Linked DNA regions of Drosophila melanogaster. Each later gene encodes a partner of the first gene's protein in a complex. Each region holds a gene or a part of one and is shown in the gene's direction. Other genes may lie near its edges.

What was found. Proteins that work in one complex are often made in the same cells at the same time.
Region 2: ph-p (region 1) and l(1)G0020 share a complex: the UniProt entries of both Drosophila melanogaster proteins name them as parts of the PRC1 complex.

Annotation. Positions count from the first base shown.
Region 1 is NC_004354.4:2,131,068-2,138,255, reverse strand, and holds the start of ph-p (polyhomeotic proximal), read left to right. Parts: upstream 1-1,633; 5' UTR 1,634-2,204; coding exon 2,205-2,239; intron 2,240-6,529; coding exon 6,530-7,188. UniProt on the Drosophila melanogaster protein: Polycomb group (PcG) protein. PcG proteins act by forming multiprotein complexes, which are required to maintain the transcriptionally repressive state of homeotic genes throughout development.
Region 2 is NC_004354.4:8,716,213-8,723,186, reverse strand, and holds l(1)G0020 (lethal (1) G0020), read left to right. Parts: upstream 1-2,909; 5' UTR 2,910-3,021; coding exon 3,022-3,224; intron 3,225-3,283; coding exon 3,284-3,731; intron 3,732-3,791; coding exon 3,792-5,070; intron 5,071-5,130; coding exon 5,131-6,100; coding exon of another isoform or gene 6,101-6,104; intron 6,105-6,121; exon of another isoform or gene 6,122-6,240; coding exon 6,241-6,367; 3' UTR 6,368-6,474; downstream 6,475-6,974. Other genes in the region: CG1789 (uncharacterized protein), read right to left, coding at 1,744-1,953, 2,078-2,581; CG1785 (uncharacterized protein), read right to left, coding at 6,477-6,873, 6,936-6,974. UniProt on the Drosophila melanogaster protein: RNA cytidine acetyltransferase with specificity toward both 18S rRNA and tRNAs. Catalyzes the formation of N(4)-acetylcytidine (ac4C) in 18S rRNA. Required for early nucleolar cleavages of precursor rRNA at sites A0, A1 and A2 during 18S rRNA synthesis.

The DNA of each region.
Region 1 (7,188 bases):
ACTTAAAAAGCCTAAAAATAATATGGCGGCAGCAAAAAAGAAAAGGAAACGAGACGAGACAAGCCAACAAAAAGCTAATCGGAATGAAAACATTTGTGGGGCTCAGCGACGTTGTTGTTGGATGAGGTGGGAAGAGTAAGAAGAAGACCAACAAGAGCCCAAAGCAACGCACACATACTACAAATGGTGCATGCACACACGCACGGGCTGGCACAAAATGAAAAATGAAATGACAAAGACAGGCACAGTGGGTCATGAGTGGTGGATATTTGAAACATTAATAAACTTAAAACTTAATAAATCAACTCAATACGTATGTCTATTATATAATTCTATTTTACTAAACGTTTTCATTTTACTTATCGTAACATTGTTTATATGTATAAAAAGTTTGGAAAAATTGCTGTTCTAAAAAATTGACCCACTGTACTCTTGGTTCTCAAACTGCAACTGTAAAGCAATCCAATAATAATGGATCGCTTACCACTGTTCAATGGGGTGGAGAGAATAAGATTTCGCTCTGCCTCTGCGCATACGCTATCCTCCCCTTCTCAACCGACACACCCGTGTGTTACTGACAAGCACAACTAATAATAAGGTAAAGCCGATCCGACCCGATCTGATGTGAAAAAGAAGGAATGAGAAAGGAGGTAGAGGTAGGAAGGTAGTCGTAGTGGTGGTGGTTGTGATGGCACGAAAAAAGAAGATGAAGTATAGCAACAATCGTTGTCGAGTCGGGCCGGGCGGTAGACATTCGAGTGTACACACATAAAACTGGCTTCGCGCGTATTTATGTATGTACATACCCGGTACCCACAAAGTAAAAGGGTATACTGGGCACTTGGTTTTAACTGGAATTTGTGTTAGTAGTCAGCACCAATAACTTACAAATAAATATTTAAGAAGGGTTTTCATTTTAAGGATACGACTGAAGTTAGCGAGGAATGGTATATGAAAAAGGGGTATTTGAAAGTCGAGTCACCAGACCATGTTATGTTTTCAGCAACGGAAGGGGGCTTTCAGTCGGGGTGGTTGAGCACGCATACACATGCCCGCCAGCTGTAGTCTTCCTGTTTTTTTTACTCGTTTTGGTTTTGCTTTGTCAAACGAACTGCTGCCGTTTCATTCCAACCCCAAGCGAACGCACGGCATCCCTCTCGCACGCGCTAACTGGCCAGGGCCACTCCTAGTGGCGTCGCACTCGCACCCGTGCATTTCGGTATAGAGAAAAGTTATTAGTCGCAACGGCATCTGAGAAGAGAGAAGCGGATCCAGCTGCACACCAACACACACACATATTCAGCGCACATGCGCTCATTTTGTTTCCGATCCGAACGAAAAGTAGAGTTGTCGCTGTGGCGCGCGGTTCAGTTTGAAACTTAACTTGGCGGTGTACGGTTCTTGCGCTCTGCTCTCTCTGCGTTCGTGTTGGTGTGGTGTCGTATGTGTCGCATACCGCATCGCATGTGTATTGAACGAAGAAAAAACCCGCCGACGCGACATACTCACTGGATACCCTGCAAATTTGTTAAATTTTTTTCAAAAAGAGCTAACGGTGCTGTTGATTAGCTAGTGCAGATGTGCAGACATAAAAAGTGATGCCGCGCCACAGTGGAGCCCCTAGCTGGCGAATCGTCGCTGGCGACGTAGGCAGTGCAGTTAAAACAAGTACTTAGTGCTGTGACTGTGGCTTAATTTTATGTAAGATCGCGTGCACAGGTGCTTAGTCGTTACACTGAGAAAAAGAAAAGTGCCTGCAGCCAGCGGGGAGAAGTTGAAGTGGAGTGACTGTGAGTGGAGGTTGTACTAATTACTACTGCCCGTGCACGAAACACTCATTTACACGCAAGCACACACACACACACACACACACACGAGACACTGGGACTTTTGTCGGATTTTCGTATTCGTTTTGTGTACTTTTGTTGTCTTGCGTTCCACGTTACATACATATGTATATGTTTGGTGTTGCCTGTTGTATGTTTATATTTATTGCCTTCACACATGTGCGTGTTTGTTAATGTACAATATAATACGGCAAATAGCAAAAAGAGAAGAAACTGAGGACTAAAAAGAAAGCGCCATGCCGACTATAACAAAAACAACCACGAGTGTCTCCGCCGCCGCCGAAAACAAAAACAAAACGCCTAAGCCGACGCATGCATACCTATAATTTATTATAAATATTGTTTTTATTTTGAATAATGGATCGTCGTGCATTGAAGTTTATGCAAAAAAGGTATTTTTTGTTTAGTTTGGTTTTATTTTTATCACTGCTTTTGTACTGCCTGCACTTGTGCTTTTTGTTTACAATTTTTGGTTTAATCTGCTCTTGAGCATTGGATATTGATTCTATATCGTATTCGGATAATAATGACACGTTAATCATAATGCTCGTAAAAATGCAGCGAGTGGATATTCTGTGCTCTCTGTCATCATAAAATGCGCTCGACTGGCGGGCCAAGAAAAGAAAATAAATTCATGAAACCCAAAACGAGTTTCCCCTCCGTCGCCCTCTCCGCCATTCATCATCCAACCGACACACGCCCCCCGCTGTGCGGTGTTGTTGCATTTTTAACAACGAATTTCGCAATGCATGCCCGTGTCTGCATTTGTGTGTGTGCGTCGGCTGGTGGTGGTTGATTTCTCCGTCTCTCCGTGCAACCCTCTCTCACTCGCGCAACAAAGCAACATAAAGAAAACAAAAGTTCTATATCGAAAGGTATCAGTTTTTGTTGTTGCTGCGGCAACCCTGCTTACATTTTGCTTTACTCTGCCGAAATAAACAGTCTAGGGTTGTCAGCTGTAACGAATCTGAGAAATCTGTGTTCCGGTTTAACGAAGATTCAATTTTATTGAATACTTTTATATTTCTTACAGTCCGTTATCACTGAATGCTAATTTTTACCTACAAACTTAAATTGTTCGTGGCAAGAAAATAAACCAGAATGATTAAATTATTTTAGACTCGTTTAAAGCACAACAGTTTTTGTAAATAAATAGTTGACAACTCTGTTTACACCTACGCTACACCGCACTCGCTCTGAGTTTATGTGACTGTGTGTACGGCCTGGCCATAGCCTCATCTCGTTCACTCACATTTGTTTCATCTTCTTCGATTGCAGAACTCGTTTGTGTATCAATCAATAGGCTGTCAAGGCCCCCCCCCTCCTCGCTCGCTCCCGCGCATTTTGCACGCCCGAATCCACTGGAGGTGATGTTTGATTTGAGCGCGACCTTTCCCCCGCACCCCTATCGGCGTGTCTGTGTGTGTGTGTGCTGCCCCGCATTTTGATCATTCCTTTCCCACCGCTACTGCTTTCCCCCCGATTGCAAGCAGGCTGTTTTACGGGGGTTCTCACACACTCGAGCTCGAATGTATGTACCCTACTCCATGGCGACATGGAAACCAGTCTTTTTTTTTCTCTCAAGAGGTTTTTCGCAGCGTGCGGCCGTGAGCTTAACTTACACACACTTGCACACGCGCACCCACCACCCTGTGGCGAGTATTCCACCCCTCTGGACCACCCACCCCATATTCCCTTTCTTTTACGGGGTAGCAGCGACATGAGGGTTGCCAAAATGCTTTTACCGGCTTTTATAACCCATTTCGCTCCTTTTTCTGTCTTTTTTGCACTCATGCTTTTTATGCTCTTGCTGTTTATGGGCCTTGCGGGCTTTTTGGGCGATGGAAAGGGGTGGGGATCAGGCTCTCTGGACTGCCGGGCATCACAGTCGCGGTCAATGCAATAGGACCTTGAAACCACGCTTCTCCAGTTAGATCATTCATAGTTGAACTATATCAGGGAACTGATTCAGGAAGTAATATTAGTTAATTATTTCTAGAAAAACATCCTTACCATGTGGAGTACTCAGCCATTTACGTTTGTCCACTAATCCTATTAGCTTGAGCACTACTGTATAAAACACTAACCATCTCGTGTTGCTCCCAACTGTCAGCATTTTTAGCATTTCGATGGAAAGGTCCTTGAACTTCGCCTGCAATTCGCATCGGCTTTATTGCCCTTTTACAATAATATCGAACGGTGCCAGCTGCGTGGCTAAATTAGTTTTCCGGGCTGTTGTTGTCGAACGTTGAACGTGGAAAACGAGTGCGACTACCATGCTGCTCATGGAAATTCGAAAACCCATAGATAAAGATCGATGTGAAATGCGAAGGCTGTCAGGCAGCTCCTTTCTCTTCATTCGTTGAATGCGAAAGTCCGTTAAGTAGTTGGCCAAATGTTCATTGTCGCTGAAAAAGGGCGGGTTCGGAAAAAGGTCCACAAAAAGAACGAATATTTTCGGGATAGGGATTGGGATCGGGATCGGGCTCGGGATCTCTACCTAAAAGTTAACCAGGGTACACAATTCTTAATTAGAAATTGAAATGACATGGTACATATCTTCAGGCTTGACCTTGTGATTAAGTCGGAACTATAGTTTTGATATTATCCCGAGTTAAAGGTGATCGTTACCTCAGAGTCATATTTACTTTTCCCGCGTTTGTTTCTGCCACTCTCGAAAGTCATCTTTTATGTTTACATTGTAAATATGATTATTTAATAAGAGCGTTTTTGTTTGCTAGTTCCCGCATTTGTCTCACACTTTTTTGAATGACTAAAACCAGATTTTTGTATTTACCAAGTAGCCATATTTGCTTAAACAAAAAAAAAAAAAAAAAAAACGGATATCACTTTGTTATAGCTCAAAGAAGCTGGGGTCGGAAAAATCGAATTTTTGAAATTTGAAAGCTGGAATCGTTTGCCCATTTTTTGCCCATGTTTGCCCACCAATTAGTTTTTTTTGCCCACGTCCAGTTTTTGAGATATGAATTTTCGAAAAAGTTCGAAAATTTTCGAAAATCAAAAATTTCGCTTTTTTCAAAATTTTTTTTTTTAAATCGCAATAACATCGTTTGCCCACGTTTGCCCACCCTTTAGAATTTTGAAAAAATTTATACTTTAGAAAATATAAGGCTTTTAAGTTTACCTCGGTCTAATCAGAGAGTAAATCGTTTGCCCATCTCTTAAAACCAAATATTATCAACAAAAAAGGTTTGCCCAACCATTATTATTAGTTTTTATCGTTTGCCCACCCTTTAAAAAACCTTTAACAAAAATTTTTTTTCGATTGCCCACATTTAAAATACACCCAATTTCGTTAGCCCACCTCTTTAAAATAAAAATTTCCAAAAAAAACGTTTGCCCACCATTTAAAACTAAATAATTTCGTTTGCCCATCCTTCAAAATTCATTTTTAACGTTTGCCCACCCTTTAAAAATAAATTATTTCGTTTGCCCACCCTTTAAAATTTGTTTTTTTCGTTTGCCCACTCTTAAAACTAAATAATTTCGATTGCCCACCTTTTAAAAGTAAATAATTTCGTTTGCCCATCCTTTAAAATTCATTTTTAACGTTTGCCCACCCTTTAAAAATAAATTATTTCGTTTGCCCACCCTTTAAAATTTGTTTTTTTCGTTTGCCCACTCTTAAAACTAAATAATTTCGATTGCCCACCTTTTAAAACTAAATAATTTCGTTTGCCCATCCTTTAAAAATAAATAATTTATTTTTAAAGGGTGGGCAAACGTTAAAAATGAATTTTGAAGGATGGGCAAACGAAATTATTTAGTTTTAAATGGTGGGCAAACGTTTTTTTTGGAAATTTTTATTTTAAAGAGGTGGGCTAACGAAATTGGGTGTATTTTAAATGTGGGCAATCGAAAAAAAATTTTTGTTAAAGGTTTTTTAAAGGGTGGGCAAACGATAAAAACTAATAATAATGGTTGGGCAAACCTTTTTTGTTGATAATATTTGGTTTTAAGAGATGGGCAAACGATTTACTCTCTGATTAGACCGAGGTAAACTTAAAAGCCTTATATTTTCTAAAGTATAAATTTTTTCAAAATTCTAAAGGGTGGGCAAACGTGGGCAAACGATGTTATTGCGATTTAAAAAAAAAAATTTTGAAAAAAGCGAAATTTTTGATTTTCGAAAATTTTCGAACTTTTTCGAAAATTCATATCTCAAAAACTGGACGTGGGCAAAAAAAACTAATTGGTGGGCAAACATGGGCAAAAAATGGGCAAACGATTCCAGCTTTCAAATTTCAAAAATTCGATTTTTCCGACCCCAGCTTCTTTGAGCTCTTTGTTATGTTAGTTTTCCATGATCATTAAATTTAATTTTTTAATGTTTAATTTAAGGGCCGTTTTCAAAACATCACGGCCAGTATAAATAATAATAACAAATAATGATGAGAAAGCTGACCTTATTTTTGGGTCAAGTCCGATTCTCAGCTGGGAGAGCTTGTTTTGCATGAGCGGGGAGGGGAGCAGGGGGCAGAACGGGGATGCTGACAACGTGTTTGCATTGCCTTCCTATTGTTTGTCGCTAGGACAAGAGAAGGCCATTAGGAACACTGTTTTTCCAGTTTGTTTGCGTGTGGTGTGGTCCGAAATGACATTGCTCTTTTTTGCTGAGCAAATGTTTACTGATCGCCAAACTTCTCTTTTTCAATCCTCAGAGCGGACACAGAAAGCGATACGACCACACCCGTGAGCACCACAGCATCCCAGGGGATTTCAGCATCAGCGATTCTAGCAGGAGGCACTCTTCCCTTGAAGGACAACTCGAACATCCGCGAGAAGCCCCTCCACCATAACTACAACCACAATAACAACAACAGCTCCCAGCACTCACACTCGCACCAGCAGCAGCAACAACAGCAGGTGGGTGGCAAGCAGCTCGAGCGGCCACTAAAGTGCCTGGAAACGCTCGCCCAGAAGGCGGGAATCACCTTCGACGAGAAATACGATGTGGCCAGCCCCCCGCATCCCGGCATTGCCCAGCAGCAGGCGACTTCAGGAACAGGCCCAGCAACGGGATCAGGCTCAGTCACCCCCACAAGCCATCGGCACGGAACTCCGCCCACGGGCCGCAGGCAAACCCACACCCCAAGCACTCCGAACAGGCCCAGTGCTCCCAGCACACCCAACACTAACTGCAACTCAATTGCCCGCCACACCAGCCTCACGCTGGAGAAGGCGCAGAATCCCGGCCAGCAGGTGGCCGCCACCACCACGGTGCCACTGCAGATATCCCCTGAGCAGCTGCAGCAGTTCTATGCGAGCAATCCCTACGCCATTCAGGTGAAGCAAGAGTTTCCCACGCACACGACCAGTG
Region 2 (6,974 bases), 6.6 Mb from region 1:
CGCGGCGAAAAAAATATTTCACGCAATTCATTCTCACACACACACACACACACACAACGCGATTTAACGAGCTTACAATGAATGCTTAATCCTGTTTTGGGAACAGGACTCCCAACATGCTCATATCCTCTTTTTTGTGGACTGCAACGTGGGAAGTTATGAATCATTGGAAAAGTGCGAAATGTTTTAGATAAAATCAATTTATCCATATTTATAAGTAATCTACATGGATATGGTGGTCTATATAGCCTTTGAATGAATCCATTTTATATTCCTTCACCAATCCTTTTGCAGCATATGTAATATTAAAAGTCAAAGCAATGAAATCCCTTTCCCAAACACAAAATAACCATATTTTATGTTTTTTTTTTTTATCATTATATGAAACAATCATTTATAAATTACCCACCAATCGTTATTAGCTGGGGTTTGTCTTTGCCATTCTGTAATTATATTCGTTAAATTCGGTTTGAAGCAAACACTTAAGCGCGAATTTGCTTTGTCCATTGTCAGGGGCAACTAATATTCAGGGAAACCTTGACCTGCCCGCCCCCAGATGGGTAAACAAAAATAGAAACGAAACATACACTGCCACCCCAGTTGCATGCATATTCATTCGGAGCAGTCACACACATGTGCCCACCGCAATCACAATACCATTTCCATTCATTCATACCCAATACCATTTTGCCCGAACCCCTCGCAGTTTGGCAGTTAAGTTTCAAATTACAAACCCAATTGATGCTAGTTAAAAAATCTGTGCAGGTTTTGCGTTACCATTCGGACTCATCCTCAACTTCATCCCCGATGAGCCCGGTTTGTTGTGATGCACTCGTGACAAGTCCGATTAGGTTAGCCGTACACCGCGGATCCGATCCGATCCCATCCATCCCATCCCATTCCCATTCAAGTCCCTTCCATCCCCTTAACGCCGGTCTCTAGCCATCTATTGTTGTGGAAAGTGTCAACATAGCGATCTATTTTATGCATAATTTGGCGTGCCAAAATGCGCGACTCATCAAAATGGTGTCATATGTTTTTAATCGGGGAAAACAAGGACCAGCAGGCAAACAAAAAAGAAAAAAAAAAAAGAGATACGGGGAGTGTTTGCCCGGTTGTCTGTCGCCTGCGGTTTTCAATTCGAAAAGTTGCAGCCGGTTGCTTATTTTTACAAAAGACAAACATAAAAAAGTTACATTGAATATTGAAAACTTATGTTGCATACACTAACTTGCAAGAGCACATATAAAATATTAGTCTTGAAATGTTCCTCGGAGATAAGAAGAATGAATTTAAAAAATAAGCTGACTTTTTAAATAAAACATTACAAATGTTTAAATTCAGTTTGAAGTTGGGGTCATGACTTGGCTAAGCGTACCTAACTTAACGAAACTCGCACTAAATTTGGTTTGTGCCCTGGAAAGATCTAAATTTCGTTAAATATTTAACGAATCTGAAAAAAGCGTTTAGTCGAGTTACATACCCATTCGCTTTTACTTTTTCTTGTTTTTTTTCGGTATATATTATTCTATTCGGTATATATAAATATTCTGATCAGAACATTCGAATTAATGACCCAAAACTAGGATGCCATATCTCATTTAACTTGTTACTTGCATTTGAATTGCATTCAAAATTGGGAATTATATATGTAATTCCTTAATCCAAAACAATAAAAATCATAGTTTTGTCAAAAGTCTTCAACTAACACTTAATTGCTTTATTAACTAGAGGGGAAATATTCTATTTCTTGCGTTCGTAGCGGAATTTGTAGACGGGCGCACTGTCCTTGGTTCCCGGCTTTATTTTCCTCGGCTTCAGTAGGCGTGGCTGCTTGAGGGTGTTCTTCAGCTGAATCTTCTGCTGGACGATGCCGAGTTCCCTTTCACGCTGCTCGCGTTTCTTCAGCTCGTTGATGCGCTGCTGTTTGATGGGGTTTGGTTCAGTTGTTTTCTACAAAAAATTTAAAGGCAATCGTTACACACAAGTAGAATCATAAATCATAAGTATAATATCAATTATAAATTAGTTTCTCACAAAAGCTTACAACCTCGTTGGTTTTAAAGAGGTGACCTACCGATTTCTTCTTCTTTTCCTCCTCTTCCTCCTCGTCATCATGCTTTAAAAGCCATTCGCCCATGTCCAACTCCATGTATCCGTCTTCGTCAAATTTGATACGTTTGTTGGCTGCTCCCTTAATGGCATCCACGTCCACCAGCGAGGCCTTCAAGCGTTCGATCTTCTTGCGCTCCATGGTGCGCTTCATCACCACGTACTTGAGGTCCTGCGTCTGCATGAGGGCCAATTGCTCGGGCGTGTGCTCGTCCTTCGTGTCCTTCTCGTGGTGCTCATCGTTGGACAGCTTGGAGTTGATCATATGGTGGTAGAACTCATCGGGATTCTTGTTCTGCGCCCGGCGGTACAATAGCTTCAAGGTCTTTTGCTTTTTCTGTGCGTCGATGGCTCGCTTCTTGTAGTCCTTTTTCTTCTCCAGGAATCCCAGATGCTGGCGCGACTCCGGCTGGTGGCGCTCCCTGTGCACCTTCTGGTTGCTTTTCGACGCATTCTTCCACGATGACATCTTCAATTTATGCTAATCCTCGACAGCAATCAAATATGTTCTGTTTTGATAAACGTGCGCTTGGGGAATTAGAGATGCACAACTACTCGATAAATGTATCGCATTGACTCAAAACATCGAATGTGGTGTTAATCGGGAATTTTTAAAAAAATCTCATTGGTAGAAATTCAAGCTGCCTTCTTGAAGACATCAATACAAATCCCACCCGAATTCTACGATTTAAGACTTCGTGTAAACAACATTCATGTGCATTTCACAATGGTAATATGATTGACGATTTCCGTGACATTGTAAAGTAGATAGTTGAGTCGCGACTATCGACAAAGCGCCCATCTCTAAACCGCACACGTGCATTTTGAACGGGCAACAATTTCATTTGCATTATTTACTTCGGAAAACCGGAGTTTTTAAGTGAAAAGTGAACGCAGGAAAGCCGAAGCATGGTGAAGAAGAAAATAGACAACCGGATACGCGTGATGATCGAGAATGGGGTCAAGCTGGGCCACCGAACCATGTTCATCGTCATCGGGGACAAGGCGCGCGACCAGGTTCCCATTCTTTACGACATCCTGACCAAGTCGACGGTCAAGGCGCGACCCACGGTCCTGTGGTGCTACAAGAACAAGGATGAGGCCATCTCCAAGTGAGTATCCAACTGTAGAACTATTACACAGAAACTCAGCTAACTAGATACATTTTTAGTCATGGCAAAAAGCGAGCAAAGAAGATTGCTGTGGGCAAAGTGGATGTCAATGAGGCGGACCTGTTCGATTCCTTTCGAGTGGCCACCACCATTCACGGCAGATACTACTCCGAGACGCACGCAGTCCTCGGACGAACCTACGGCGTGTGTGTGCTCCAGGACTTCGAGGCCCTGACCCCCAATCTTTTGGCTCGAACTGTGGAAACGGTTGAGGGCGGCGGTCTGATCATCCTGCTGCTGAAGACACTGCAGTCGCTGAAACAGTTGTACACCATGAGCATGGATGTGCACAAGCGATTCCGCACAGAAGCCCATCAGACGGTGACCTGTCGATTCAATGAGCGACTCATTCTCTCCCTGGCGGACTGCAAGCGCTGTCTGGTGGTCAACGATGACCTCACCGTGCTGCCACTTAGCTCCAAGACCATCAACGTGGAGCCAGTGAATGTAAGCTGATGCTTGTAAATCTTCTAAAGCAGCTAATACCATTTGTTTCTAAACTTTCAGCCCGCAGGCGCCGGTCGATCGCCCAACGAGGCTAGCCTCAAGGAGCTGAAGGAGAGCCTGCTCACAGTTCAACCAGCAGGAGCTCTGGTTAATCTCTGCAAGACCTACGATCAGGCCAATGCCGTTGCCCAGTTCATTGAGGCGCTGGTCGACAAGCAACTGAAGCCGCCCATGTCCTTAACAGCGGCTCGTGGTCGTGGTAAATCGGCCGCCCTGGGTCTGTCGATTGCCGCCGCCGTCGCCTTTGGCTATGTGAACATCTACGTTACCTCACCGCATCCGGAGAACTTAATCACGCTCTTTGAATTTGTGCTCAAGGGCTTCGATGCCTTGGAGTACCAGGAGCATGCTGACTACACCATTATACGCTCCACCAATGCCGACTACAAAAAGGCGATAATAAGAATAAATATTACGAGAAGCAGCAGGCAGACCATTCAGTACATAGCTCCCAGCGATACTCATCTGCTGAACGCAGCCGATCTTCTGCTGATCGATGAGGCGGCTGCCATTCCTTTGCCGCTGGTAAAGAAGATGATCGGTCCGTATTTGGTATTCATGGCCAGTACGATAAATGGATACGAGGGCACTGGCAGATCGCTGAGCTTGAAGCTCATTTCCCAGCTGCAAAAGGATAACAATGCAAGGCCGCCACTGAAACTGGAGGAATCGATTCGGTATCAGGAGAACGACGACATAGAAAAGTGGCTGATCAACCTGCTGTGCTTGGATGCCAGTACGGTGCCGAGTATTAGCTCGGGCTGTCCCACGCCGGATGCTTGTGAACTGTACTATGTGGACAGGGACGCCCTGTTTTCGTATCACAAGGCTGCCGAGGCCTTTCTCCATCGCCTGGTCTCCATTTATGTGTCCTCGCACTACAAGAACACACCAAACGATTTGCAGATGATGAGCGATGCCCCGGCGCATCATCTATTCTGTCTACTGGGTCCGGTTCAGCGAATGGACGCCCTGCCAGAGATATTGGTGGTTATCCAAGTGGCACTGGAGGGTCAGATCTCCGCCCAGAGCATCAGCGATTCCCTGGGCAGGGGCAAGAAGGCGGCGGGCGATCTGATTCCCTGGAACGTAGCCGAGCAGTATGGCGATCGAGATTTTCCCAAGCTGTGTGGCGTTCGCATTGTGAGGGTAGCCACGCATCCGAATTACCAGAGGATGGGCTATGGCAAGCGGGCCATTCAGCTGCTCAAGGACTACTATGCAAGGAAGCACACTAATCTGGAGGACGGTCCAGTTGCCAGCAAGGATGCTGGTAAAGGTGAGTGCACGCACGCCAATGGTTTATTATGCACTACATAATACTTTAAATTTTGCATAGGTATCGAGGAAGTGGAGGAGGAGGAACTTAGTCTGCTGAAGGAACAAATCCGGCCACGTAGTCGTATACCCACACTTCTGCAGCGCTTGCACGAACGTGTCCCGGAACACGTGGACTATATTGGCACATCCTATGGCCTCACCACCGAGCTGCTGAAGTTCTGGAAGAACGCCGGCTTTGTGCCCGTCTATTTGAGCCAGAAATCTAACGAACTGACCGCCGAGCATAGCTGCATTATGCTGCACACGCCCAATGCCACGCCCTGGCTGGGCCTGTACTACCAGGACTTCCGCAGGAGAGTCCTCAAGTTGATGGGAAAGACGTTCAGGGAATTCGAGACGAAACTCTGTTTGGCCTTGCTGAAGAACAAGTCCGTGGACACGGAAGGTAGTGCACTGAAAGTACTCGATAAGCCAATGCTGGATGTTTACTTCTTGCCGCACGATCTGCAGCGCTTGGAGAGCTACGCCCGCCAGCAGTCCGAGTTTCGTCTAATCATCGATCTGCTCACGGACATTGCCCAGCTGTATTTTCAGGGCAGGATCGATGGTCTGCAGCTTGACCTGGTGCAGCAGGGCATCCTTTTGGCTCTGGGCGTGCAGGGCAAGACTGTGGATGCGTTGGGTCTGGAGCTGAATATGCCGGGTAACCAGTTGTTGGCGAAATTTTTCGATGCCATGAAACGGTGCAATCAGTGCTTCCGGTCGGTACTGGAGGAGCATATCGAAGGCGGCATGCTGCGGGAGGCGGATCTGTCCAAGGGCGAGGAACTGCAACCGCTGACTCTGTCCCTCGACAAGGAGCTGGATCAAACCGCTCAGAAGCTGAGCAAGCAGCAGCGCAAGGAGCTGAAGCGCCTGAAGGCCGAGCAGCTGGACGAATTCCAAATCAAGGGCACCGAAGAGGATTGGTCCAAGGCGCTGGAAACAAACGGAACAGGCGGTGGCAGCGGGCTGCTCTCCGTCAAGAGGTAGGTGCGCCTATTTTTTTTAATAATGTGCTTAATACATAACCACGTTTATTTATTTGTCTCCAGTTTCGTTTTATTATAAACATCACTCAGTTAAAAAAAATATAACTTATTTCGTATTTGCCTCTCTTTCGTTTCAGTGGCGTAAAGCGACTGGATGGACCAATCGAGACGCGTGAGGATGGCGACCTGGCAGCTCCGCTGTCCAAGAAGAAAAAGAAGAACAATCCGAAACAGAGACGCAGTCAGGGCAAGTCCCTGATCTAGAGTTCATAATTTTTTTCGTTTGGGGGGAAAAAGAATGTGGATTTTAATTCTATAGAAAAGTACATATTGTTGTAAGCTCCGTTAAAAATAAAGAGACCTAATAACTGAACTATATCTTGATATTGGCAGTAGCCTTGGCTGCAGCGGCGGCCGCCCTGCGCCGTTCCTTGAGGTCATTATAGCTAACGCCCGGCTCCTTGTGGGAGTTGCGCTCGAAGCGCTTGACCTTGGACTTCTTGCGGCTGACGAGCTTTGTCGTGGGCAACATATTGTTGCGTTGCAGCGTGTGGAAGCGGTCCTTCAGCAGACTGCTCTCAGTCTTCACGTTGCGCAGATTTCCGGCGATATCCTCGGGCAGATTTACGTCTAGGTCTGGCTCCTCGAACTTGTGACGCCCCAGGCGTTTCGGCTCAAACTTGGCCTTCTCGGCGCGCTGCTTGCGGCGCTTCTTTAGATCATTCAGGTCCTCCTCCTCATCGTCTAGCTCGTGGCGAATCGATTTGATGCTGAATGAAGAAACACAATAGAGATTAGAGATGGACCACAACGCCATCAGTTAGAAACTTACCGTATCAGGTCAGCCGTCTGTTGCTTGAGCTTCCTCTTG